4 linked regions of the Neodiprion lecontei genome follow. The protein of the gene in region 2 purifies or fractionates together with the protein of the main gene of each other region. This does not show direct contact. Links are inferred from orthologs where the notes say so. Each region holds a gene or a part of one and is shown on either strand. Other genes may lie near its edges.

The links.
Region 1: the proteins of serine/threonine-protein phosphatase 6 catalytic subunit (region 2) and serine/threonine-protein phosphatase 6 regulatory ankyrin repeat subunit A purify together in Homo sapiens (affinity purification with mass spectrometry; 9 studies listed by BioGRID and IntAct, with this or other methods). This does not show direct contact. The link is inferred for Neodiprion lecontei from reciprocal best matches to the Homo sapiens genes PPP6C and ANKRD28.
Region 3: the proteins of serine/threonine-protein phosphatase 6 catalytic subunit (region 2) and mitogen-activated protein kinase kinase kinase 7 purify together in Homo sapiens (affinity purification with western blotting; 3 studies listed by BioGRID and IntAct, with this or other methods). This does not show direct contact. The link is inferred for Neodiprion lecontei from reciprocal best matches to the Homo sapiens genes PPP6C and MAP3K7.
Region 4: the proteins of serine/threonine-protein phosphatase 6 catalytic subunit (region 2) and TIP41-like protein purify together in Homo sapiens (co-immunoprecipitation; 4 studies listed by BioGRID and IntAct, with this or other methods). This does not show direct contact. The link is inferred for Neodiprion lecontei from reciprocal best matches to the Homo sapiens genes PPP6C and TIPRL.

The regions. Positions count from the first base shown.
Region 1 is NC_060264.1:23,666,708-23,672,640, reverse strand, and holds the start of serine/threonine-protein phosphatase 6 regulatory ankyrin repeat subunit A, read left to right. Parts: upstream 1-2,273; 5' UTR 2,274-2,644; coding exon 2,645-2,668; exon of another isoform or gene 2,669-2,681; intron 2,682-2,710; exon of another isoform or gene 2,711-2,729; intron 2,730-2,777; exon of another isoform or gene 2,778-2,961; coding exon of another isoform or gene 2,962-2,964; intron 2,965-3,256; coding exon 3,257-3,381; intron 3,382-3,832; coding exon 3,833-4,090; intron 4,091-4,675; coding exon 4,676-4,871; intron 4,872-5,023; coding exon 5,024-5,213; intron 5,214-5,339; coding exon 5,340-5,586; intron 5,587-5,690; coding exon 5,691-5,805; intron 5,806-5,869; coding exon 5,870-5,933. UniProt on the Homo sapiens protein: Regulatory subunit of protein phosphatase 6 (PP6) that may be involved in the recognition of phosphoprotein substrates. Involved in the PP6-mediated dephosphorylation of NFKBIE opposing its degradation in response to TNF-alpha.
Region 2 is NC_060262.1:30,903,179-30,909,695, reverse strand, and holds serine/threonine-protein phosphatase 6 catalytic subunit, read right to left. Parts: upstream 4,672-6,517; 5' UTR 4,599-4,671; coding exon 4,530-4,598; intron 4,383-4,529; coding exon of another isoform or gene 4,371-4,382; coding exon 4,275-4,370; exon of another isoform or gene 4,272-4,274; intron 4,185-4,271; coding exon 3,977-4,184; intron 3,651-3,976; coding exon 3,571-3,650; intron 3,464-3,570; coding exon 3,358-3,463; intron 3,015-3,357; coding exon 2,853-3,014; intron 2,515-2,852; coding exon 2,324-2,514; 3' UTR 1,168-2,323; downstream 1-1,167. Other genes in the region: dynamin, read left to right, coding at 5,329-5,492.
Region 3 is NC_060260.1:31,604,187-31,610,064, reverse strand, and holds the start of mitogen-activated protein kinase kinase kinase 7, read right to left. Parts: upstream 3,620-5,878; 5' UTR 3,483-3,619; coding exon 3,405-3,482; exon of another isoform or gene 3,386-3,404; intron 2,819-3,385; coding exon 2,593-2,818; intron 2,054-2,592; coding exon 1,936-2,053; intron 1,805-1,935; coding exon 1,475-1,804; intron 1,243-1,474; coding exon 1,130-1,242; intron 919-1,129; coding exon 512-918; intron 438-511; coding exon 338-437; intron 1-337. Other genes in the region: brefeldin A-inhibited guanine nucleotide-exchange protein 3, read left to right, coding at 3,928-4,012, 4,082-4,215, 5,182-5,316, 5,448-5,613, 5,696-5,825. UniProt on the Homo sapiens protein: Serine/threonine kinase which acts as an essential component of the MAP kinase signal transduction pathway. Plays an important role in the cascades of cellular responses evoked by changes in the environment.
Region 4 is NC_060265.1:5,357,281-5,362,430, reverse strand, and holds TIP41-like protein, read right to left. Parts: upstream 2,657-5,150; 5' UTR 2,507-2,656; intron 2,244-2,506; 5' UTR 2,242-2,243; coding exon 2,063-2,241; intron 1,886-2,062; coding exon 1,706-1,885; intron 1,629-1,705; coding exon 1,406-1,628; intron 1,326-1,405; coding exon 1,167-1,325; intron 1,079-1,166; coding exon 878-1,078; 3' UTR 791-877; downstream 1-790. Other genes in the region: TWiK family of potassium channels protein 7, read left to right, coding at 3,709-3,975. UniProt on the Homo sapiens protein: May be a allosteric regulator of serine/threonine-protein phosphatase 2A (PP2A). Isoform 1 inhibits catalytic activity of the PP2A(D) core complex in vitro. The PP2A(C):TIPRL complex does not show phosphatase activity.

The sequences.
Region 1 (5,933 bases), on a different chromosome or scaffold from region 2:
GTATCTAGAAAACTAAATTATAGGAAGATACAAAAATTTTCAAGTAGTCTTTCCATTTGAATTTTAAAAGATATTTGAGATCTACGTTGAGCATGAGAGAAAATCTCATAACCCATGTCCTGAAGGGTTAAGGTTACATAACTGTGTCTGCTGGGTAGTAGATGATAGACAATGTTTTGCAGTAAATTGCAAGCTTACAAAGTTCGTCAAATATTTATTCATGCTGCAGTTTTATCCTTTGTTATGCCATCAATTTATTATTCAGTTTCGACGACGACTGCGGCACTTCGCCACGGTAAGTGTTCTCTGATAGGAGATAAAATAAACGCTCACTGCGGCAGCGAGGGTTCCGGAAAGAGTGATAGCTTGGAGGACAGTCCCTATAATACATCGGAGGTGAAGTGTTGCGTCTTTCTACTGGCCACTGCGCATACGAGGGACAGTCTAAGCAAAAATGTAATGTCACTGATTTGCAAAACAAAACGCGTGCAAAAGGGGCACTAATCTCCGGTGTACAAACTTTTTAAAAGACTGTATCGGTTCAAGAGAGATAGAACTTCACTTCCAAGCTATTTCTTTCTCCTGAAGGCGAGCCATATACATAGACTTATAGAGATAGACTGCGCGATCCGTGCACCGAGCTGAAGCCCTAATTAAAATGAGAAAGCAATAGTGGGATCCGACCTCTCTGCTGCACGGTCGAAGGAGTGAGGAGCAGCCGCCAGCCGGGAAGAGCATAACATGTATAAGCTAGGTGTTTCTCCCGCCAAGTCACCGATTAGAGTGAGAGGTACGATGCCGCTGTTACTTTCTCTTTCTAATTAGAGTCTCAGCTCGGTGCTCAAACCACGCAGTCTTTCTCGATAAATCTATGGCCGTATACCGAGCCACGCAATGAGCGTTCCAGTACTGTTATATTATATCTATATTATAATATTATAATATAGAGTTCAGTGATTATATGTCTATAATTATTATATTTCAATGGTATGAGCACGCGTGTAAGTAGAAACTAAAGTCCCGCATACAAAGAGAAGGAGCTCTGCTGGCAACTCTCTATTTTTGTCTAGCTTGCTTCTGAATGGCGCCCCTCTTTCCTTGCGCGTTTCGGGTTTTCGACGCCTTGCTCAGTCTACCTCAATATTATCTCTATGCCAAAAATCCGAGCGTGGACCACGGAGTATAGATACAAGGAGTCTGAACGGTATCGGGGTTTTCATAGTATTAATGTACGCAATAATAAACCTAAATCATAGTTCTCTTTTCTGCCACTGGCTGCGCAAGTACTCAGGACGTACCGTTGTTATTATTATTATTACACGTAAACATACACCATATACTAGCTCGCGAATGTTAAAATTAATTAAATTAAATATAAAATAAAAATTTATCTATTTAAAATTAATTTTAAGAAAACAATGGGTAGGTGTTGTGCTGTTCATGGTTGTCTTAGTGGCCGAAAGGCAAGTGAGAATGTAGAGAAAGTAGCTTTATTCAAAGCACCAAAAGTGAGTAACCTCAAAATAATATTGAAAATTTGTGTTATTAACAAATAATTCTAAAATTTATGTAGTTTTCTAATATTTGAAAAATATTTTTATTTATGTGCTTAAATATAAAAATATATATTACTTTTAAGGATGTTGAATTGCGTAGTAAACGGAGCTCAGCTTTGGGACAAGAATTAAAAGCTAGCAGTTTTATTTGCGAATTACACTTTAATCCAGAGAATGTGATTAAAACTGATCGAGAGATTTTAAAAGATGGTAGTGTATATGTGTATGAATACCAGAAAGTTCATTTGAGGAAGAAAGCTGAGCCAAAATCACATACTAATGACGACAATGAAAACAATTGTAGCTTGCTATTAAATAATGATTCTTCAACAATCTCTGATATAAATGACGATACGACAAGAAATATATCAATTTTTGTTGGCTGTGACGAGCATAAAAAAGAATTAACAAAAAAAATAATTAACAATTTCATAATAATGCGGGGGCATTTTCTAGTCAAATGTTTTAATAAAAGTGCTACGGAGAGAAAAGTTAAATGTAAATCCTAAAACTTTGTATTTAATTCCACATTTCTCAGAATATTTTTTTCCAGAGAGGTGTCAATAGCAACAAGACTTCCCGCGTAAGAATTTAAACGAGTGCTTCTTAAAAAGTGGCGCACTCTACCGGCAAAAAAATCTGTCCCCTAAATTACGACCATTCGTTCAACATTACGTTCAGACTCCTTGTATCTATACTTCGTGGCGTGGACTCTCTTGTGTGTCCTGTATGAATCACCATCGCTCTTCTGTCAACGCGGTGAACGCGACTGTGCTTGAGGCTAAATTGATAGTCAATTGCAATAAAAATAAAAAATGAACAATTTACTGGAAATTCTTGTCACACAAGTGTGGTTCCGGATACCATTTACCGTTGGTCTCCGTCTAAAATTTTCATGAGTCGATCGTGGAAAACAAGTAATTACTGTTTCATCGTTCAATTTGTTATTGAAATCGGGAAACTCGTATGCGACGAGAATTCAAATTTCACTTTTCCAATGTGCGGTACGTGACAGCAGATAACAGTTTGTTTACTTAATTGTCAATAACTTTCGGATGCGTCTTATGAACGTTGATTAGTTGACAAACATGTTAAAAATGTTTCGCGACGAGGTGAGTTTCAAAGGTGTGGCAGAAAATTGTTACCAATATCAAACGAAACTACATCTTTTAGGTTAGGGTCCATCTCTACATTAAGCAAAGTTTTGCCCTTTTAATTTAGACGCAGATTCAAATTACCTGCATACTTGTAATCGGAGATAGATTTATATGCTTGAATAAAGTCAATCACAACGGTTGCCAGGCAAACTCGTATTAAGGCAACTGGGGCAAATCATTTCTGAATATTGTTCATTCAGTGTGACTTGCCAGGATCCTTGTAATTGCAAGAAAAGTACAGTAATTTAATGGTGAGCAGAATCAATGTGAAATTTTCAAGTTACGCACCTGATCATCGGCTGACCGGTAAAATCTTTATATATCGCAGATGCGATCGAGTATAGATATCAAGACAATATATTAGTCAAACTTGACCAGACAACTCAAAATTTAAGTACATCCCGTTAACACGAAAACAGATGTGTCTTCGATACTCAGACCAACATATGGATACCTGAAATGAAAAATTTACCAATATGACCACTAGTCAGAATTATTCAGTATGACTCATTTAGTTTCATAAATATTGTTTCGCATTTTCAGCCACCCTTGATCCAAGCTATATTCAATGGCAACCTGGAAGAGGTTAAGGCTTTGCTGGTGCAACAAGTTGGTGTAAATTCGAGAGATTCTGAACAACGATCTCCTTTACACGCAGCTGCTTACATGTAAGTTACGCATCTACTTTGACACAACCGTGTGTGTCCAATCAATCAGAGCGATGCATTTAAATATGTCACTCTACCATATCTTTCATCTATTCTGGTTTGAACTCGATAGTCTATAAGCCTAGAAGTCTACCGCTAACGCTGAACGTCCTCGAGAGTTACGAATGACTTATTATCCGCCCTTATCATTGTGTCAGCATTATCACCAGTATGACGTCTTGCATCTTCTGGTCTTTTTATCGCTACTCTTTTCATCTCTTTCAGATCTTATCTTTGAGATAATATTTATTCCCACTAACCCATACTCCCATCGTACTATTTTTACATATTCCTTCAGTACTGCATCGTTTCGTTCGAACAAACAATATATTAGGGTCGACGTGTAAAGCTTATAATCATAAAGATATCCTGTGGCAATGGGACATAACGAATAAACTCTGACTCTGCGCAGGGGAGATCCAGCCGTCGTACAGTCGTTAATAACTTGGGGAGCATTTGTCAGCCAAAAAGACAACAGATGGCTAACACCGTTGCACCGAGCCTGCCGTTCAGGTAATTGGGGCGCCGTTAATGTACTGCTGATGTATGAGGCAGATGTGAATATTCGTGACCGCAATTGGCAAACACCGCTGCACGTCGCTGCTGCTAATAATGCGATACAATGCGCAGAGAGTCTCATCCCTCTGCAAAACATAAACGTCACAGACAGGTTAGTGGTTTGTTTTTTGACTATTTATTCTTTTAGTAATCATAAATTGCTTGACTGGTGTGACATTTTTATTTACTTACATTTATTTATTTGACCAAACATTTCTCAGTGTAGATATGGATTTTGCAAAGTAAAACCTTGTAGAGGTAATATATAACTGAAATCACCTATACATAGATCTGAGAAATAATAATACTACTGACCTAAATACTAAATATAACAACTAAATACCTACTGGTTTGATTTAGAGGGTATTCATCTGATCATATAGCAATATGCTATTTAATATCCATGTGTCAACAGTTACAACCTTGAGTTATTTTTTAATTATTATATATTAAATCTAATCGAATCTGTTAATTTTTTCTTAGAATTTCTTTTATCAGTTTGAAACGTTTTTAGATCATTTGGTAGACAATCGAATATTCTAATTGCTTTGATGTAACTATTTTTATTGCCAACAGCTAACAGTGCTAACAAAATTAGTTGTTCAACATTATTTTTACTTCTTAACTTATTCATTCTTATATTATCACATTTAAAATTTAGACAATGTAAGTACAGTCTGTTGAAACTGTTGTTTAGGGGTGGAAGAACGAGCTTACATCATGCCGCCTACAATGGACACTTTGAAATGACGAAGCTTTTAGTATCTCAACCCGGGTGCATTCTCAACGCTTGCGACAAGAAAGATCGGAGAGCCTTGCATTACGCCGCCCACATGGGTCACGATGCTATTGTCAAATTACTAGTGGAAAACACGGCATCGGTCGATGTTAAGGTACAGATCAAGTTTTTGTTCCCCAAAAATTAATACAAGCAACCCTGATTTCACAAACGTCACAAATACTCAATAACATCTCAATATCGAATTCATAATTTATATACACTCCCATTATCGCATTACAATAAACATCACCCTCTTTTGCCAAGGATCGTGAATTATATACTCCGCTGCATGCCGCCGTTGCTTCAGGAAAAGTGAACTGCGTCCGTATAATCATTGCCGCCGGAGCAGATATTGAGGCAAAGAATGTGTATGGAAATACGCCATTGCACATAGCCTGCTTCAACGGGCATGCGAACACTGTGACGGAATTGATCAACCACAACGCAAATATTGGTAAGCTAGTACAAAGCTTGTCCCAATTAGAAAACAACTTTCAATTGGTTCAGAAATTGCATAATTAAAGAACGTGTGACCTCCAAAAATCAATATAAAGCGATATTACGTCTATCCTTTTCCTAGAGGCATTGAATTACCGTGGTCAAACACCACTGCACGTTGCTGCCGCCAGTGTGCATGGTGTCGAATGTTTGGAGGTTTTACTATTTTCTGGTGCCCAAATCAACGTTCAATCTCAAGATGGTCGTACTCCGTTGCATGTGACCGCCATTCACGGTCGTTTTACACGCTCCAAGAGTCTACTGGACAGAGGAGCGTCGGTTGACACCCGTGATAAGAATGGAAACACAGCTTTGCATATCGCGGCGTGGTATTTATCAGTTATATCTGTAGGAAATATTTGAGGTCCAATGAATACTTTGTTAGTTCCAGCACAATTTTGTCCTTTGATTGAGCAAAAATTCTCTCCGCTAGGTACGGGCACGAATGTCTCTCGACTACCTTACTTGAGCGCGGCGCCTCACCAGCGGCACGAAACTCCGATCAGAGAACACCTCTTCATCTTAGCTGTCTCGCAGGGCATATAGAGGTACAATACAGAATAAATGTACTTTCGCAACAATCGCAGAAATGTACTATGCCCATTTTTTCAGGTCTGCAGAAAGCTATTACAAGCGGACAGTCGGCGTATGGATTCTAGGGATATCAAAGGTCGAA
Region 2 (6,517 bases):
GGTACATGATCGTGATAATGTGGTGTCTCCATGTGAGATATTTGAAGGTCATTTGTAGCGTTCAAGCTCCTGCACAAAATTTGAGCTTCCTTTATTTTTTATCAGTTAAGTTTGGTGAATCAAGTATACTTATGTGTTTTGGTGCAAGTACTTAGACACTTTGACAAAGCTTGAGTGTTTGCAAATAGAGAGATACGGAGGCAAATGTGATAAGTACCTCAGCAGGTGTAGGCGCTAATACTATAAGGTTCCCAAGAGTACGAACCGTATAGATATTCACGTTTTCATATCTACGAAGGATCAGATGCTGCCGAAGCGATTATAAAATTTATAACGTGAGTCCCAATGTCTTAATTAGTCCCACATCCATTCAAGCCAATGATTTTATTCAAGTCTTTATTCTTTATTTATATCAAAAGTATTTTTATCATGACCAACAGGGGGAAACGAGAAAAGACACTTGCATACTGTTGTTGTCACTTTAAAACAGACTGTTCAACGATTCTGTGTCAGTTGGCAAGTAATATGAGGCAATATAAATGTCTATCATTCTTACGGATACATGAAATTCAGATATTGATATAACTCTATAATGTGTAGATGCCAAGCTGAGGAATTTCTCACAGTAATTGCATTAAAAATAAAGCACTGTAACGTGGCATTTGAGAACTGACATGATTTTGTAACAAAGAACACGCATTACGTGCACGATATAAATTCTATATGATCTGCTCGGAGCAGATCTACTCCGTCGATTTGATAAAATTTGAAATTGTATATTGGTTTGATTTGGCAGCTAGTGCCATTTTATACTATAATTCTTTCGTTTGTGAGTTCAGTAGGAGTATCATAAATTAGTGACAAAGAGTGCCAGAATTCAGGTTTGTTACATACAGCAACAGCAACAGCAGCAGCTGGTGAGTTAATACTATCCATGTATTTTCATTATGCATTATTATATTACACAAACGCTTATTAATTTAGAGGCACATTGCTAAGGGTCTCAGTTTAAAAAATTGCTCCCTACGTTAATAAACTTATGATAATCTACCTATCAATTATTTAATACAACAATAATTTGGCATATGAATACATGATATGGAAACTGTACACTCATACTTGTTATTCGTTTCTTTTTATTTGGCAAAGTGGTATCTCTGCTTCAACTGTATCAAGATGGTCACGGAAAGGACTGAACTAGCTGTATACTACGTTCAACTTCGTACAGTTTATGGTTACCATCGTTCCTAAAGTAATGTGTCTTTTTTTTTTTTATGAGTATCAGTTATTGCGATCCACGGAATTTAAACATTTATAAAACATTTATGTATTGATATCAATAAGCCATCATATAATTTACGAAATGCAAGGAATTGGTTATCGATAAAATATTGCCATGTTTCGTACAAAAATGTTGCAATGCTTTTTTTATCATCAAGTAAAATGGTATGTGCTAAACTTTTACCGGACCATCCGTGATCATACTGTTTTATTTTTATTGTACAATTATTCAAGATAAAGATACAATATTAGCATTAGCAATAATAGTCGGTACGAAGCTCGTTAGAACAGAATCAAGTTATTAATATCTTCGGGAAGACCCTAACGATACGACATTGGCTTATGCATTCTTGAAACCTGAATTCTAGACACAGTAAACTGTAATGTCGAAGAAGCATTCACTGTTCCCAGAGCCCACTTCTTGTCGGAATGTTTGAATAATAATATTTTCTATGTTATTTCCCTTTACATCACTGGACCAATGACATTTCGTGTATTTATAAGTTACTTAAAAGCTCTCAGGCGACCAAACATGTCCAACTTGCTGCTCTGAGGTGCGAATGCTCTACAGAATGTACACAGTAGGCAGCAAAAGCATCTAGACCATAGAATGTCGTTGTTGAATTTTTACAGAAGCTCTTTTAAGTAAACAGATCAGGCTGATGCAATGGCAGAACCTTTTTATATCATTATATTTCTCAGTATAGTTTACCACAGACAACTTTCTAGCGTATAAAATTTTTTTAAAAAACAAGGTCATAAATTCCTTTACATATAATTTTACTTGAACAATAAAGAAGGGCACAATCATTGTGCCGGAAATATATCTTGATACGGAAAAAAAAGAAAACAAAAACTACGAATTTCATGATAAACTGATGTATAAAAAAACCTCCCAAATTATGATATACTACAAGAACATTCGTTCATGCTGTCAAAATACCAGCCCAATTCATTGACAAAGGAGCAGTCATGTATCTCCGTGAGGCCTAGATCCCGACGCCGCTCCTCTGCATCGAGACAGATGGAGCGCCGAGTTAGATCACAAAAAGTAAGGTGTTGTCGTAAGTGGGGGAATCACTCTTTCGGCATCTGGCACTGCCTGGAATAACACCGCATTTCTCTGGTCCACCGTTGTGAACTGTAGAATACTGGCTATGTTGCCACATCGATAACAATAGTTTGGCGCCGACCAAACTGTCACCAACTTATCATTGAACATGTATCTATACCCTACAAAGGTAAATGTTATATTTATTTACAAAATATGAATAATACTTAACGATTTAAAGAATATTTCGATCCTTTAGCATCAAGTTATTGCCGTACGTGCATTTGTGTTTGCTATACCAAGTTGAAATCTATAGTTTTCAACTTTAGTGAATTCTGGCGACTTCATTGGCAATGAGATATTGCATTTGGTAAATAAATTTCAAATGTCTTGATACGAAATTATTGACTAGTTTCTTTCGACAGTAACAATATGCTTACGATTAGTTGAAGAAGCAAAGAAAAATAATATATTGGATAAACAAAATAATAACCTAACTATTATTACCGCAAGGGCTTACCTTCGTGAACTAACTGATGTGCTCTACATATGAGTTGAAGATCATTTATACCCATAAATTCATGAGTAACTTTACTTCCGAATAGCCATCCGGCTCCTCGTGGGCTTACTGTCCAGGTATCGACATCTTCTGGGTCGGACCACACTAGATCACAGAAAGCACCTGCAAGTAAATAAAGAATGAGAAAATATCAATCGAGTTGGCCACATACGAAGTTGAAACTGACAGTCAAATTTGGCAGGCAATCGAACCAAAACTTTTCTTATATAGAGGAAAGCAGTACACTTTTGTGTTTATAAATTTATTTAAATGTTGGCATTCCATGAGCTTTGACAAGATTTCGGCAACGAACTTCACCCACCAGTTTCAAAAGTGCAAAGCTGAGTAACTTAATGCTTACTGGAAGTTTTCAGGATAGCGTTCCTAATCATTACATAATATTTTTGATGGATATAATATTTACTCAAATTGTTATACGATAGACTTGATTTATAGTTGTTCATACCTTTATGTGGGATTTCTTGATTTCTTTCAATTGTCCTAATTTGATCTAGAGTCCTAATAGCTGGTGACAAACCACCATGAACACAGAGCACTTGTTCGTCAATTAACTAGAAGAAAAAATTTCGTTGAAATAAATTATTACGTATCTAGTATTTTCAGTTTTTACTACTTTTGTACTGAAAATCATGGTGCATTAATGTATAAATATACTCACAGCAGCTACTGTAAGAAGATCGAATACTCTGCAGCAGTACTTCCACGCATTTGCATTTCCATACTTATTGTGACACTCATCTGTGAAGGAAAGAGAATTCTGGAGTCAAATTCCAAAAAAGTTTGGGGGCAGGCAACCTGAATAACTTATAAAGCTGACATTTAACTCCCATGCTCGTCAAACTAAATTTTGCATGTAAACATTATGTGATTTCCTTCCAGTAGCGAAAGAAGCGTAAGGCTTGAAAGAAAAGCAAATCAAACAGATACTAAAACGAAAATCAACCGCATGCTCGCAGCGTGAAAACTTGCTAATTATATTTTGGGCTTCAGATCCATCCTAACGTATAGCCAAAGCTCTGAGATTACTGGATCCTACAATGGTAAATAGAAGAGCACATGGTTACCGTAAAATCCATAAACTTGTGTGATTTGGCGCGATTCATGATTTCCTCGTAATAGCGTTATCCTGTCTGACCATTTGGCCTTTAGTGTTAGCAGACGGGTAAATGTTTCTAAGCTGTAATATCCTCTATCGACAAAATCTCCCATAAATATGTAATTTGTATCAGGTACTGGGCCTCCGCTCCGAAACAACTCCTCCAGGTCGTAGAACTGACATGAAAGACGCACAAATATTATGGGATATGCATCAACAAGTACTGCCCTAAAGTTTTGAGGTTATATTGGGTCGCAGTAGCTCACCTGTCCGTGAATATCACCGCATACGGTTACTGGAGTCGATACTGGCTGGATATTGGATTCTTCGAGGAGCAAATCGCAAACCATGTCACACAATTTCTGTATAAACAGGTAAAAGTACAAGTTAAATTATTCAAAGATAATACTTCGGGAAATGTAACCTAAAATATTTTCATGAAAATTGGTATTTCGAAAGTACGGCGAGAGATTATACGAGCAGTAAATATTTATTTATCGTCAATGAAATGCGCTCATTACCTTGAGGTCATTTTCTGGTAGGTATTTGCACTCTTTTGCAATATCAATCCATTTATCGATGTCTGACATTTTGGATTCGTAATGTCGCGGAAATAGCGGGTCTGCCCTGTCACCTATCTGTGGAACAGGGTACTTGTGACTGGCTTATCGCTATATATTCCGGAAGAAAGAGCGCGCTGCTTAAAAAATATCATATTTATTAATTAAAAATTTCACCGACTCCGGGTAATTTTGTGGATAACTGTTTGATTGAAAAACTGTATAAAACGTGTCTTTTAACGCTGGTAAATACCCCTGTCAACGAAACGCTATTCACTACGTCGTTATCTGTATAGATTTTCTTTCCGTTTCTAAAACTGGGTCAGAAACTCGGCGGCACTGCGCAAGCTTCGATTATCGATTATAACGTTAACGTCCAGAATCTTGATGCTGGATCTCATTTGCGTGATCGCGGCGTAGGGCACTCGCAGTGTTGCTGTTCTGTCCGTTTTCTTACGGAACTTTGCTGAAACGCGCGTTTCTCGCTCGCAGAATCGGGCTCCGGGTATTAAAAATGCGGTGAAAACACTCGGGTTCGGAGTTCGAATCGGCTCAAGGAATATCGTGGGCCCAGCCATTTTGCTCTATCGAGAGAGAGACGAGCAGTGTGAGAGACAGTTCTGACCGCTCTACTGCTACCCTGTCGGACGGAGGTGGTGGTCGCGGCTCCGTGCTGATACGCTTTTATTCTGTTTTCCAGTGTCGTTGAATAGCTCTTGTTGCTCGAGGAAGTGCCGACGATAACTTAAAATTAACCAAAATGTCAGGCAATACGGGAATGGAACAGTTGATACCAATTGTAAATAAGCTTCAAGATGCGTTCACTCAGCTCGGAGTGCACATGCAACTCGACCTGCCACAGATCGCTGTTGTGGGCGGACAAAGTGCTGGCAAGAGTTCCGTTCTGGAAAATTTTGTCGGCAGGTAAGTTCGATCCTTCCATCCATCAACGCCCCGAAATTATCGACGAATCCATGCTAATTTTTTTTATCGTTATTCTTAACCTATTTGCTCCGATACAACGCAAGGCGTGGCAAATTACCAAGCCGACCTTAAACGTCCCGTCAATATAATAATACCGTCGATGCTGGGAATTAACGATACGTCAACGCGTTTGACAGTTGGGAAATTTCAAACGTACGGGTCGCCAGGGTCAATAACGAAATTCCCCGGTCGCCCACTCGCCTCGAGTGACACCCTGTATCAAGTTCCTTCGCGAATATTTAGTCCAGACTCTAATTCTCTATTCTAAAGTCTCAATCGTCCCGATGATCTAACAATTGATAATATGAGTCAGCCTGTTTTCACGCTATCTTTCACCCGTTATTCCAAATGAAAGTTGGCTTGAGAAACACGCGACTTTTGTACGGTAACAAAAGAAAAAGAGCTAGATGTAAAAATGGCAAACAATTGAACAAATAAACGACATGCGACACCGATGAAGAAAGATCCAACCTCAAGACCACTTTCAAATTGTATATTGATTGGAAAAAAATTAGACTCAACAGTGCTGACATGTGCAGAAAAATAAATCTACAAAAAGAAAAAAATTTTCTTGGGTCTCTTTTCCGAATTTTATCTCAGTGCCCAAATTTGGTTACAATTTTTACGATTTTCCACGATATATTATCCATGCCATAAGATTTCTTGAAATTTTTTGCTAGTCAATTGTCTTTCTGATTAAAGATTTGTCGATGTAGCATAAATTCAATAAAAATTGGATCATTCTCAAACAAAGGTGTCTTCGTAAGTGGAGTCATGAATCAATGATAACTTCAAATTAGTTTCTACTTTGCTTGATTGTGTATTTCAAACTATACAGTTGTTTTTTGTAATGTAGAATTACTTTATTGAATATCGATTTTCTAATCAGTCTTTCGTTAACGATTCATACATAAACGCTTATTGAAAGAAATTGTGCTTTGTGAAGAATAATTATTTCCACAGTA
Region 3 (5,878 bases), on a different chromosome or scaffold from region 2:
AGCTCTGTGATATCACTCTAACTTTGAATATGAGCTAATTTCTTATTCTACTATATTATTTTCCAAGTATACCTTTGAATGTATACCTTTGTATAAATCGTACATGAGTTTTTGTTGTTACATCGAAATCAAAACGATGCATGTATCTTCAGAATAATAAGGTATCTTTTGCTGCTAACTGATTTAACTTAGGCATTTGACGAAAATTCAATGGATAAAACAAAGTGGGTCAAGTTCAGAAGCTCACTCTAGTAAATATGAAATACGATATTTGCCAAACTCATATGATTTCAAATGAAATAAATGTAGAATCGTAAAAAAATTCTGAACTTCTTACCTTGAGGAGTTTTATGTGTCTTTGGAACCATTTTGTCCAATCCCGCCATGTTACGTATCTCCCATGAAGAGTCATCGGATGTGGTTAAATCCCAAGAATTCTGAAAATGGGCATCATAAAATAAATAAGAATCAACAAATTTGACAAGTAAACCCACATATCGCGACTACTTACTGGATTACACTCTATCTGTATCGGCGAAGTATAGTCGTTTAAAACTGATGGTGATAGTCTGGTTCGTTGAGTCACAGGTATACCTCTAGGAGGTCTTTGTGGCGTGAGATCTGTTTTACCGCCAGTTTGTGAGTTGGGCTTAGAATTATTCTGAAGTCCAAGGAACTGTGTTCCAGCTTGGTTCAGCCTAGGTGTGAGGTACCCTGTGTTACATTCAGTCTGCGGTACCTGAGACTGTGACGAGCTGGTTTCTGGTTGTGTAAATTGAATGTCAGACATAACTTGATTGTCTGTTGGCGTTGGTGTCTGATTTGTACCATTGCTTACAGAACCATTGATTTGTGAGTTTAAGGTACTCGGCATATCCAATGTGTCATCAGCACCATCTTCCTCATCCATTTCACTGCCTGAAAATTACCATGAAAATGCAAAATTCTTTACTGTACAGGTTACTTGGATTTTGTATTTTGTATGAAATAGCATTTACTATAATAATGATTTGTTTTCTCTACTAAAAAACCCTCATAAGACGTAATTTTTTCATAGTGCGTTCTTATCATCTTTTTTCGTTTTTGATAATCTTAGTTTAAGAAGTGTCTATGGAGGTTTATAACATACTTAAAGAATATTCAACAGGATCCAATTGACCGTTGAAGAACTCTGAAAGAGTGGTCATAATTTGAACAACTTCATCCATTGACGGTCTCTCTTCTGGAACTTTTTTCCAACACCTAAAAGCAACAAATAAAAATGAGAGAAAGTTAATATAGAGAAAAATAGGAATTACAGATTAAATTTTGGCATAATGAGTAACAGTCGAACTCTACATCAAACACACACGTTCATGTCAAGTGGATTTATGACTGGACAGTACCATAAAGTACCATAAGATATTGAACTGTGTTCGAAGATTTTTTCTTAGTGTAAATAGGAAGATGCTGTAACAAATTAATATTTACTCACCGGGTCATAAGGTCTTCTATCGGTTTAGGACAACCATCCATCAACGGAGGCCTCTGCCCAATATGCACAGCCCACATAATTCTGTATGCAGAACCACCAATGTCGTCGAATGGCTTTCTACGAGATAAAATCTCCCACAAAATAACGCCCCAGCTAAACACGTCACATTTTTCTGTATACCGCGATCCTTCAAAGACTTCAGGCGCCATCCAAGCAGCAGAGCCTTTGTTATTGGTCATGTAAGTATTCAGATCGCAGGCTGTTCCAAAATCACAGATTTTCAGAGTCTGACCACCCAGGATGAGAAGAAGATTAGGAGGCTTCAAATCTCTGTAAAGTTTCCAATAGTCAAGGTTATAGTGTCTGATAGAATTTCAATTATGTCCATGTTTGAAAGTGAGTGGCTCTTAGAAACACAACAACATGTGCATAGCTATGTAATGATTAAATATTTGACCAACCTGTGAATTAATGGTTTTGGCTTCATGTTGTGAAGATAAGCAACCCCACGAGCACACTGGAGTGCCCAACTCATTGCATGGCCTGCTGTGTAGTAAGGTTGTGGATTACAATGCAACACTGTAACATTAACACATTATAGTTATAAAATATGTGTGTATTGTAAAGAAATTTTTTTTAAAAAAGCAGAAAAAGTATCAATTCTCAAAAGATACGTACACAGCTCGAATGTAAATGGAAGAATAAAGCAGAGAAAGTATCATTCACGTATAATTATTAGAATGATGGGACAGAGCAGCCTTAAAGTGAAATTTGAAAACTCAGTAATGTATGCTGTATTTTGCAGATCATTGGTGTTTTATATTCAGGCACTGCATTACTCCTATTTCATAGATAAGGTATCAAGTAAAACCACTACATTTGTTTAAACATACTGGGTTGTACTCAACAACCAAAATTATTTCAAGCAACTCTATTCGCAATTGATTAAATAAAGAAATACCATGATGTGATACTTCTGAAATAATACTTATCATTTACAAAGTAAATCATTTTTTAGGATGCATGGTCATTTTTTGGATATGTGTATATTTCACAAATCATTAGCTGGATGTTAGTTTGAATTAACACTAGTGTACTATAAATTTTCAATTACTTGCCATTATATAAAGAGCCACCCTCAGCATACTCCATAACTAAACAAACTGGATTTTTTGTACATGCACCATAGAGTTTAACAATATTAGGATGTGCTACTCTGGATAGCTGGCGCACTTCGACGGTGAATGCCTTCCTCTCTCCCTCAGAGTTTATGTGTTTCACCGCCACATACTGACCTCTCCATCGTCCTTTCCAGACAACTCCAAAGGAGCCTTTCCCAACAATCTGTTATCAGAAACAATTACTTTTTTACTTTACTGTATTAGTTAAAGGAAGTTGGATCGCTGACATAAAATGTCTAAACAAATCATGAGGCGCGTATCAAAGCTGATTAGATGAATTTGATTACACAGCAATGGCTGATATCTCTTTGTAAATAAATGTTTTAATTTTAACTAACGTTAGCTGATCTATAAAGCTTGTTCGTTGATATTGTATAAATCAATTCACTCTCTTTTACAAACGCGAGTTCTATGCACGTCAATAATAATGTTTACTGATGAATAACGGTGAGCAACAGCCCGAAAGTGGATGGACATATTAACAGTCAGGACTCAGTTGATTGATCGAGATAAATAATTGAGTGAAAAAAATATTCATGTATGTTTATAGAGACCAAAATGTTTTGGAGACGAAGATGTTGTGAGGTTATGTTTTCGCAATAGATTTTTATACGAGGTTCATTGATACGATATGGAATTTTACGAGTGCTATTTATTTAAGGGTAAGTTATTTGCTACAAAATGACAATTTGGTGAGGGTAAACATAATGAAAATGTGCGATTTTCTTACACAGATATCACAAGATTACCTCCTGTGTTTCAATTTCATTGTAGTTAATTTCTTCAACAAACTGTTGCTGATGGCCAGTTCCTTCCTTGCTCGCCATCACATACCGTCCGCATCACATTATTTTCAGGCCGCATTTACCCAGCTAACGCAAATTTTTCACAAATATTTATTTGAACTGGCATTCAAATTGTTTCGCCATTTGCCATTTTTCGTCTTTCTACCGACGTGTTTGCGTTGTTTTGAGACGAAGTGGGCGTTCTGTAATACAATTGGTCAAAGATATCAAACCTGCAATGGCGATCGCAGCGGCGCTGCTGAGTGGACGAGCGTGCAGCGGAAAATTTGAGAAATATCAAAAGCAGAACACTCGCGATAGTTGTCGAATATAATCAATTATTAGACAAGATTTTAAGTAAATAATATAATTCTCATATCGAAATGACTACGCCGCGTTGTTCCGAGTTTATTCTGGACTCGTAGGACATTTTTATCTCGTCTCCGGGTTCTGTACTCGCTTTATCGATTTGTTGCATGGTTCTGTCATGGAGGACCTCCTGCTGCAGATCGTCAAGGAGGCTTCGCACGCGAAATTACCAAACATACGTAAATCGGCGCAAGAGGCACATGGTGAGCTAAACATTGAACATCTTATCTTATCCATTTTTTGATTCTTCACTCACTTATTTTCTCCCACAGATTTCCTGGACAAGCAGCAAGGTCTATTGCGGGATCCCCCGCACGAACTGCGGGCGAAATGCCTCCACACCTGTCAGCTCGCTCTCGAAACAAGGAGAAGCAAATTTGTCGCCTTTGGTCTTGCTGGCCTACATGTAATGCATTCTAATGATCCCGATATTCACAGCTGTTCGCTTTATTTCGCCAGCTTTCCTTATCGCTCGTACATTGCCTCACTCTCACTGTGTAACACCCTCGTATTTGCAATAACCACATCCTGGGTGGTACAATTACTGATAGTGCTTTCACCATATGATACTCACTATGCTACACAGCTAGCACTCATTCACATTTCTGACGCTGACTGATTTTTTCTACTAATTACTGTTTCGACGATAACTGTATAAAAATATTTAAATTATATTTCGAAGTGAAACTATACTTTAACTGAAAAAAATTGTTCCAAGAATATAATTAATGTTAAAATTAGATCATTGTGCCACAAATTTTTGTTTTCAGAATTCATGATTTTTTGTAAAATACTTTGAGCAGCTTGACTAGATTTAGAAACTCATTCAGAGCTGTGTTATTTAGCAAGTTACCAATCGATATTCAGACAGTAGTTTTTGCTTACCAATTGATTGTTTTTACATGTCTCCTTGCAATTTCAGACCTGTTATGCAGTGAAAGTTGATCAATAAGAAATAGGAAACTATTTTTTTTGATTTCAGTCTCTTTCTCCTGTTATGACAGCGTTTTGAATATATTCTGCAAATTTGAAGCTCATGCCAAATGATTTTTATTGCAATGGGAGAAGCTCTAAGTTTTTTGGTCACGGTTTCGACACTGATTACACAATATATAACATATTTTTACTGACATATCAAGCACTCTGCTTATGTTTCACTTATTTGCTCATGTCGTTTTTTTAATCGACTAATATATAGTGTTAAATTTGACATTAAATGTTTCTAAGATAATTTATACTTATTCGCTTCAATGAGTTATTTTTTCAGGATTATTCGAACAAACATTTTGTTTCTAATTGAAATTGAATAGAATAATTTCTTATAGATATAAGTGGTTATATGCAATTAATGTTCATTTATGTCTTATGGCAGAAAATGCTGAGGGACGATAGATTTCAGTCTCCTTATGAGCCGGAGGATGATTCCTTGTGGCTTCCAGCTCAAATGCTCCATACTATGAGTTCCATATTATCCCAGTCAGACGATGCACAGACAGACATGCTAAAAGTAAGTTAGTTGTAAAATTGAAAACAGAAATGAAGAGCAAATACAGTCTAGGCTGTTTTTACCTGTGATTCATTTTAAACCAATCAAATCATTAATATTATTATTGATGTTATTCGTAAAATTTTTCCTAGGTGCTACTGCAAGTTGCATGTTCTTCATATTGGACAATGAATGGTCGTCTCATTATTGCTGTACTAACAACTTGTAGCGAGGCCTTTGAAAATGGAAACCAAGCAGTTAGAACTGCGGCACAGGCAGCTACCAGCCAAACTCTTCGATCCTTCTGCTTATTTCTAGGCAATATGAACAGATATTTAATTGCTTAGGATGTAGTTTAGTATACACCACAAATTTTGACTACTAAATATTTTTATTACAGATGAAGAATGTCAAGAAATGGACGAGAATGCCAAGAAGAATAAGAATATTCATGAAAGAGGGGTATCTTGTTTTAATGAGGCGATACCTATACTACAATATATCTGTAGCAAATTAGATGAAGCTCAAACGTAAGTATTGCTGAAAAAAATCAAACGAAACATTTACAGTTGAACTTCTGTAG
Region 4 (5,150 bases), on a different chromosome or scaffold from region 2:
TAACTCTGTACGGCAATAAATTTTATTGTCTCGTTTACTGGTTTATTGTTGCATTCACCATCAATAGAGTGTTAGAGACTTTCCAAGTCTTTTTGCTATTGATTATGAACATGGTACTATCAGTACAGTTCACTACAATTTCAGAAAATCAAGTGATAATATGTATATAATATCATGTGTAATAGTCGTGTTAATAAAACCTGCGATAAAATACTTATTGATAGGACGGTAATCTGAAAATCACAGACAAATTATACGTGTACATTTGCTTATAAACTTATGCCAAACCTGATATAACTGTAATTTAACTATTGTCTGATTATCGTATTATCATCAATATCTAACGTGAACTTGATTATTATATTTTTGCCTTGAAATCAATTGCCTTCATCAAGATTATCGGCATATACTTTAAGATAGGCACTTCTTCCCACTAATGAGGATATCTACACTTTGAATAAAATATAATGGGTTACTTTATCAAAGCAAAAATATGGGATGTGTATTGTTGTACTGAAATATTGATAATGAGAAATTATGTAACAATTTTTTATTTTTTATTTCATTTTGTGTATTTGCATACCCATTAGTTACGTCAAATGATAATGATTTCTATATTTACGATTTTAATAGTAAAAACTGAGTTCTGTGCATCAATACTTTGATCCAAAAAAAAGTATCGTGGCAACAGTTCATAGATAAGAAGCAGCAATAGACAAATCATTAGATGTTAGGAAATAGAATAAGTTATATTATGCCTTTTTGAATGTTATTGATTCGAACATGAACATCTGGTATTAAGATTTGCCTATATTTTTCCTGTATGTCAGTTCACATAGCAAACAACACAGTTCACACCATTACAATATATTTTTTTTTACATAGAAACACTATTCGTTGTTGACGTAGTTGTGGTACTGGATACAGTGCCCAATGTTGATGTCGATTCAATCTGCGTAGCAAGATTTTCCGGTTTAACGTTTGATTTTTCAGAAATAGTTAGCTTGTGACATTTACTTTTGGTTATCGGTAAATACTGAGCTATTTCATTTGGTTCTGTGAATATTACAGGTGATACCTAAGGAAAAATTATTAACAATAAACCAGTATTTACAGAAATTTTAATAATGATAATAATAGTAATAATAATAATAAGCATGACTCACTCGCAAATTTGCGACCTTGTCTTCCCTGGATGTGAATTCCCGTAAAAGGTAATCCTGGCCAAACTCATAAAAAAGTCGCGTATCGTTAATTTTCAGCATAACATTGTCCACCCGTAGGAAGTAACGTAACAATACAAAAAAACTGCTGGGCATCACACGCTGTACAACACATGAAAGAAATCATTCGTATTGATGATAATTGTATGTTAGAACAATAATTATATTCAAAAGAAACTTACAATCTTCACGGAGCATACAGCGATTCCATTATCGTGAAGCTCATCTTCAAATAACGTCAGATCATGATAGAACAGTATTTTTTCTTTCTGTTTCAGCTTATTAACATCAATTTTTTCACTAGTCTCAACGACATCGAAACCTTTCATGGTACCCATGTAATCCGTTGTGAATGTCCAATCAAATGGTTTTACTTTTTCTTCCAGATATTCGCTACTTTCTGATCTATTTGTCATAGTACATAATTATTGAATGTACTCTGTAACCAGTTGAATTTTTAAAAATGACATCAAATATAATACCTCGACTCTTTCCAAGCCTCGGCACAGGCCAGCTGAAGATTAATTTTTCCATTAGAAACTCGTTTGAGAGCATCTAAGGCATTGAATTCTATAATAGCTTTGTCCTCATACTTCAGGGTTAATATGTTGTTTGGAAATACCATGTCAGGCATATGTGGAAGGTCCAATGTTCTGTTAAACCTGCAACGTTCTCTACTCAGCACATATTTCGTTTCGCAAAATTGCTCGTATTTTGATGAATAAACAGGTAAATAAGAAAAGAACGGAATAACATATTCCATACAGCCATCTCAGTTTCAACACGAATAATCATGTTCAATCATATGGAATCTTGAGACTATGATAACTATGACGTACACACAAAACTGGCAGGAATCGGCGTCATTGTCTCCGCAGGCATTTTCGCTTCGCGAACATTTTGAATGAAGTATGTGAGATTGGGTGTACTTTAAATGCCAAGGTGGAAATAAATGTTCCTCTTCATTGACAGGGAGTCGCAGGATATCAATGCCTCCGTGAATTTTCACCGTCGTCATATCTGTAATAAGAAGGTGAAATCCTACTTGCGGATAATGTTCTCAAAAAAATCATGATAAAATCTTTGTCGACGGGTTTCTATCATCGAGGGCGTAATCCAATCAACATTAGAAATAAGGTGTTATTTAAACAGCGTATTCGCCTTTGGCAACAACATAACCTCTCCGTTAGACTAACAGACCAATAATCGACACCGGACGACCGGTGTAAATAAAGGTCGGGTGTAAAATCTTGGTAAATAGAACACGGCATCGATCCCTTTACCTGCGACGAATTATGGAAAAATTAAAACATCCGGAAAATTAGTAAACCTCACAAAAGTTTCAGTAAACCACCGGCTTTTTCACTAACTCTCGACAGTTGACACAGTGATTTTAGTTCTTCCGTATCCCGCCATTTTCAGACAAGTTTGGCGGTGCAGACCGACTACGCATGTGTCGCATGTGTTACATTCATGCGAATTATCACCATGTATTGTTTAGAGCGATACCATCTTGACTGCACAGGGATGAATCCGTGCCGAATGTCTGATAATTCGCGTACTATCGCTCACTGGATGTCAAATATCATGTGATCAGGTTGCTCCATTTGCCTGCAACGCAGAACGAGACTGCAGGTGGGTGCAATTAGCGAGGTTTTTCTGGAAAATAATACTACAATAACTTTGATACCAGTTCGAGTAGTTACGAAAAAATAGTATTGCATCAATTAGATTACGACTGCGTGTTCGTAACACAGACTATGCGAATATATATCCATTTATAAGCATGTATGTATTTGAATTTTTGGAATTCGCACAAGATGCGCTTACCGCCAGATCCTCGCGAGATCTGAACGCGCGGCTGCGTGTTTCGACAAGCTGGAGCAGCCCTCGGACTGCTAGCGATACAGTTAAGTCGAATGGACAGAGAGATAGTTTAGCGCGACAGTTATCTGCGGAGGATAGATTTGGTTCAGTCGCTTTAAAGCGGTTCCCCAAACAGCATCTTTTCCAAATGACAATTCCAGTGCAAGATTATAATTAATCGCAGCTAACGCAGACCAGCTTCCCATACGTAACCGAGCGTTTGCAAGTGATTTTATTTCTCGCAATATCTATTTTTCGCCCTAGAGATTGATTTCTCTGTTTTTACTATTACGATTTATTATTCATACTCTCACGAAGCTGTAAAACGATTCCAGCGATAACGCGCCCAGCGAATGAATAAGACGTAGTTGAAGATGTTATGGAATTTTTATGTATTCGAAACGTCCCCACAATGCGTTGTACTCTCATTCGAGTAAAGAAGAGAACCATGCAAGCTGTGTCGCGATCGACAGTGGATAGTCTCGATTTGGCGGAATAAGATTCGAAGATAAAAATAGTCATACAATTTATAGAATTAGGTCTGAAATACATATTTGATCCGCGTGTGGCTGCAAATAAATTACCGCGAACAACGAACTGCGGTTAAATTAACTCCGCGATGACTGTCTCCGAAAAGACGGAACTGACTCGAGGATGCAACGGAGCATCGGGTGAACCGGAGGACCCTGAAGAACCCGAGGATTCAGAGGTCGAAGGAAAGCAATCCAGGGGTGAAAAAACGGAGAGAGGGAAACGGAAAGCGAGTGTCGTGAATTCGGTAAAAAGACAGTTCTTGAAGGCGGAAACTATTCGGAAATTCAAGTCCGTCGCAAGTCACGTTGGGCTGCTATTCACCCTGATGCTTTACACTGCCGTTGGCGGGGTGGTGAGTTGTTAAGTCTGAAATTCTTGTAATTGTTAAAATTTTTTAATGATGAGCGTGATTCGAGAATTCAAGATTGAAAAACCTCAGTTACTCGCTCTTAGAGTGATTAGTTATTTTTCTTTCTTCTTCACCCCTCAGTTATAATTTAGGCTTCTTCGACGTTGTTTTAGTCTCTTCTGAATGATACCACCTTGCTAACAGTTGGCAGTCGGTTTGTTTGACCCATTTATCTTCCTTCGTCTTTCATACAATGTTCACATTCGAAGAGTTATTTTTATGTTACCACTCACTTGATACGCGAGACCAATAGGTAAACTTTGTACAAGCCTCTTCAGCGGACTGATCGTATGCGGTTTGCTTTCGACCTGAAGGATGATTGAAATACACTTGATTAGTTAAATTCCCGTTTTCTCGTTAGTCCAATTAGGGCATGGTTGAAAAAGTTCTTCCTTGTTGTTTCAATGAATTATCGAAACTGCCGTAGTAACGCAGCTGAACTCGAGAACTATCCTAGCAACTGAATAGATATTCGGTTCTCCATACCCTTAGCGTCGCGGTATGCATATACAAACACAAATTCAACCGCTTCTAGAATTATCGTCAGACTTGTGGAAACGATGCTTTTTCGAGGAATCATAAAAACCTCTCAATATTTCAAAGGTAAGTACCACTAGGCAGATAGAATGTGGCACGCCCACGCCAAGTCGTTTGTATACGTAGGCATATGTTACATATCTTTGAAATTCGCAGCTAGGCAATTTCGGTGCATTTAAAACTCGAAAGGATAAACTACCGGAGATCAGCATAATCTTTTAATGATCCTCAAACCAACGTAAATATATACGATTATACCACGATGTCTGCACGGGGTAAATTGGGCTTTTTTCCGTCACTTTGAGCACTTTCTATGGAGTCATACAGCCTATAATCGAACCCAGTCCAAGTATATTTCTTCTTTTTACAACCTCCCCTCGATTCACTAAGAGCGCCATATATTTCGGAAATAAATTGTGATTTGTAGGTATCGTGTTGGCCATAATCGATATGTATGTGCGACATCCTTAGCGAGAGCGGAGTGAAATATTATGTATCAGCATCGCGATATAAAAAGAGCACCGATGAAAAGAAAACTGAATAATTCTCATGGTACTCTGAGAAGGGTGAACGCGTGCTTG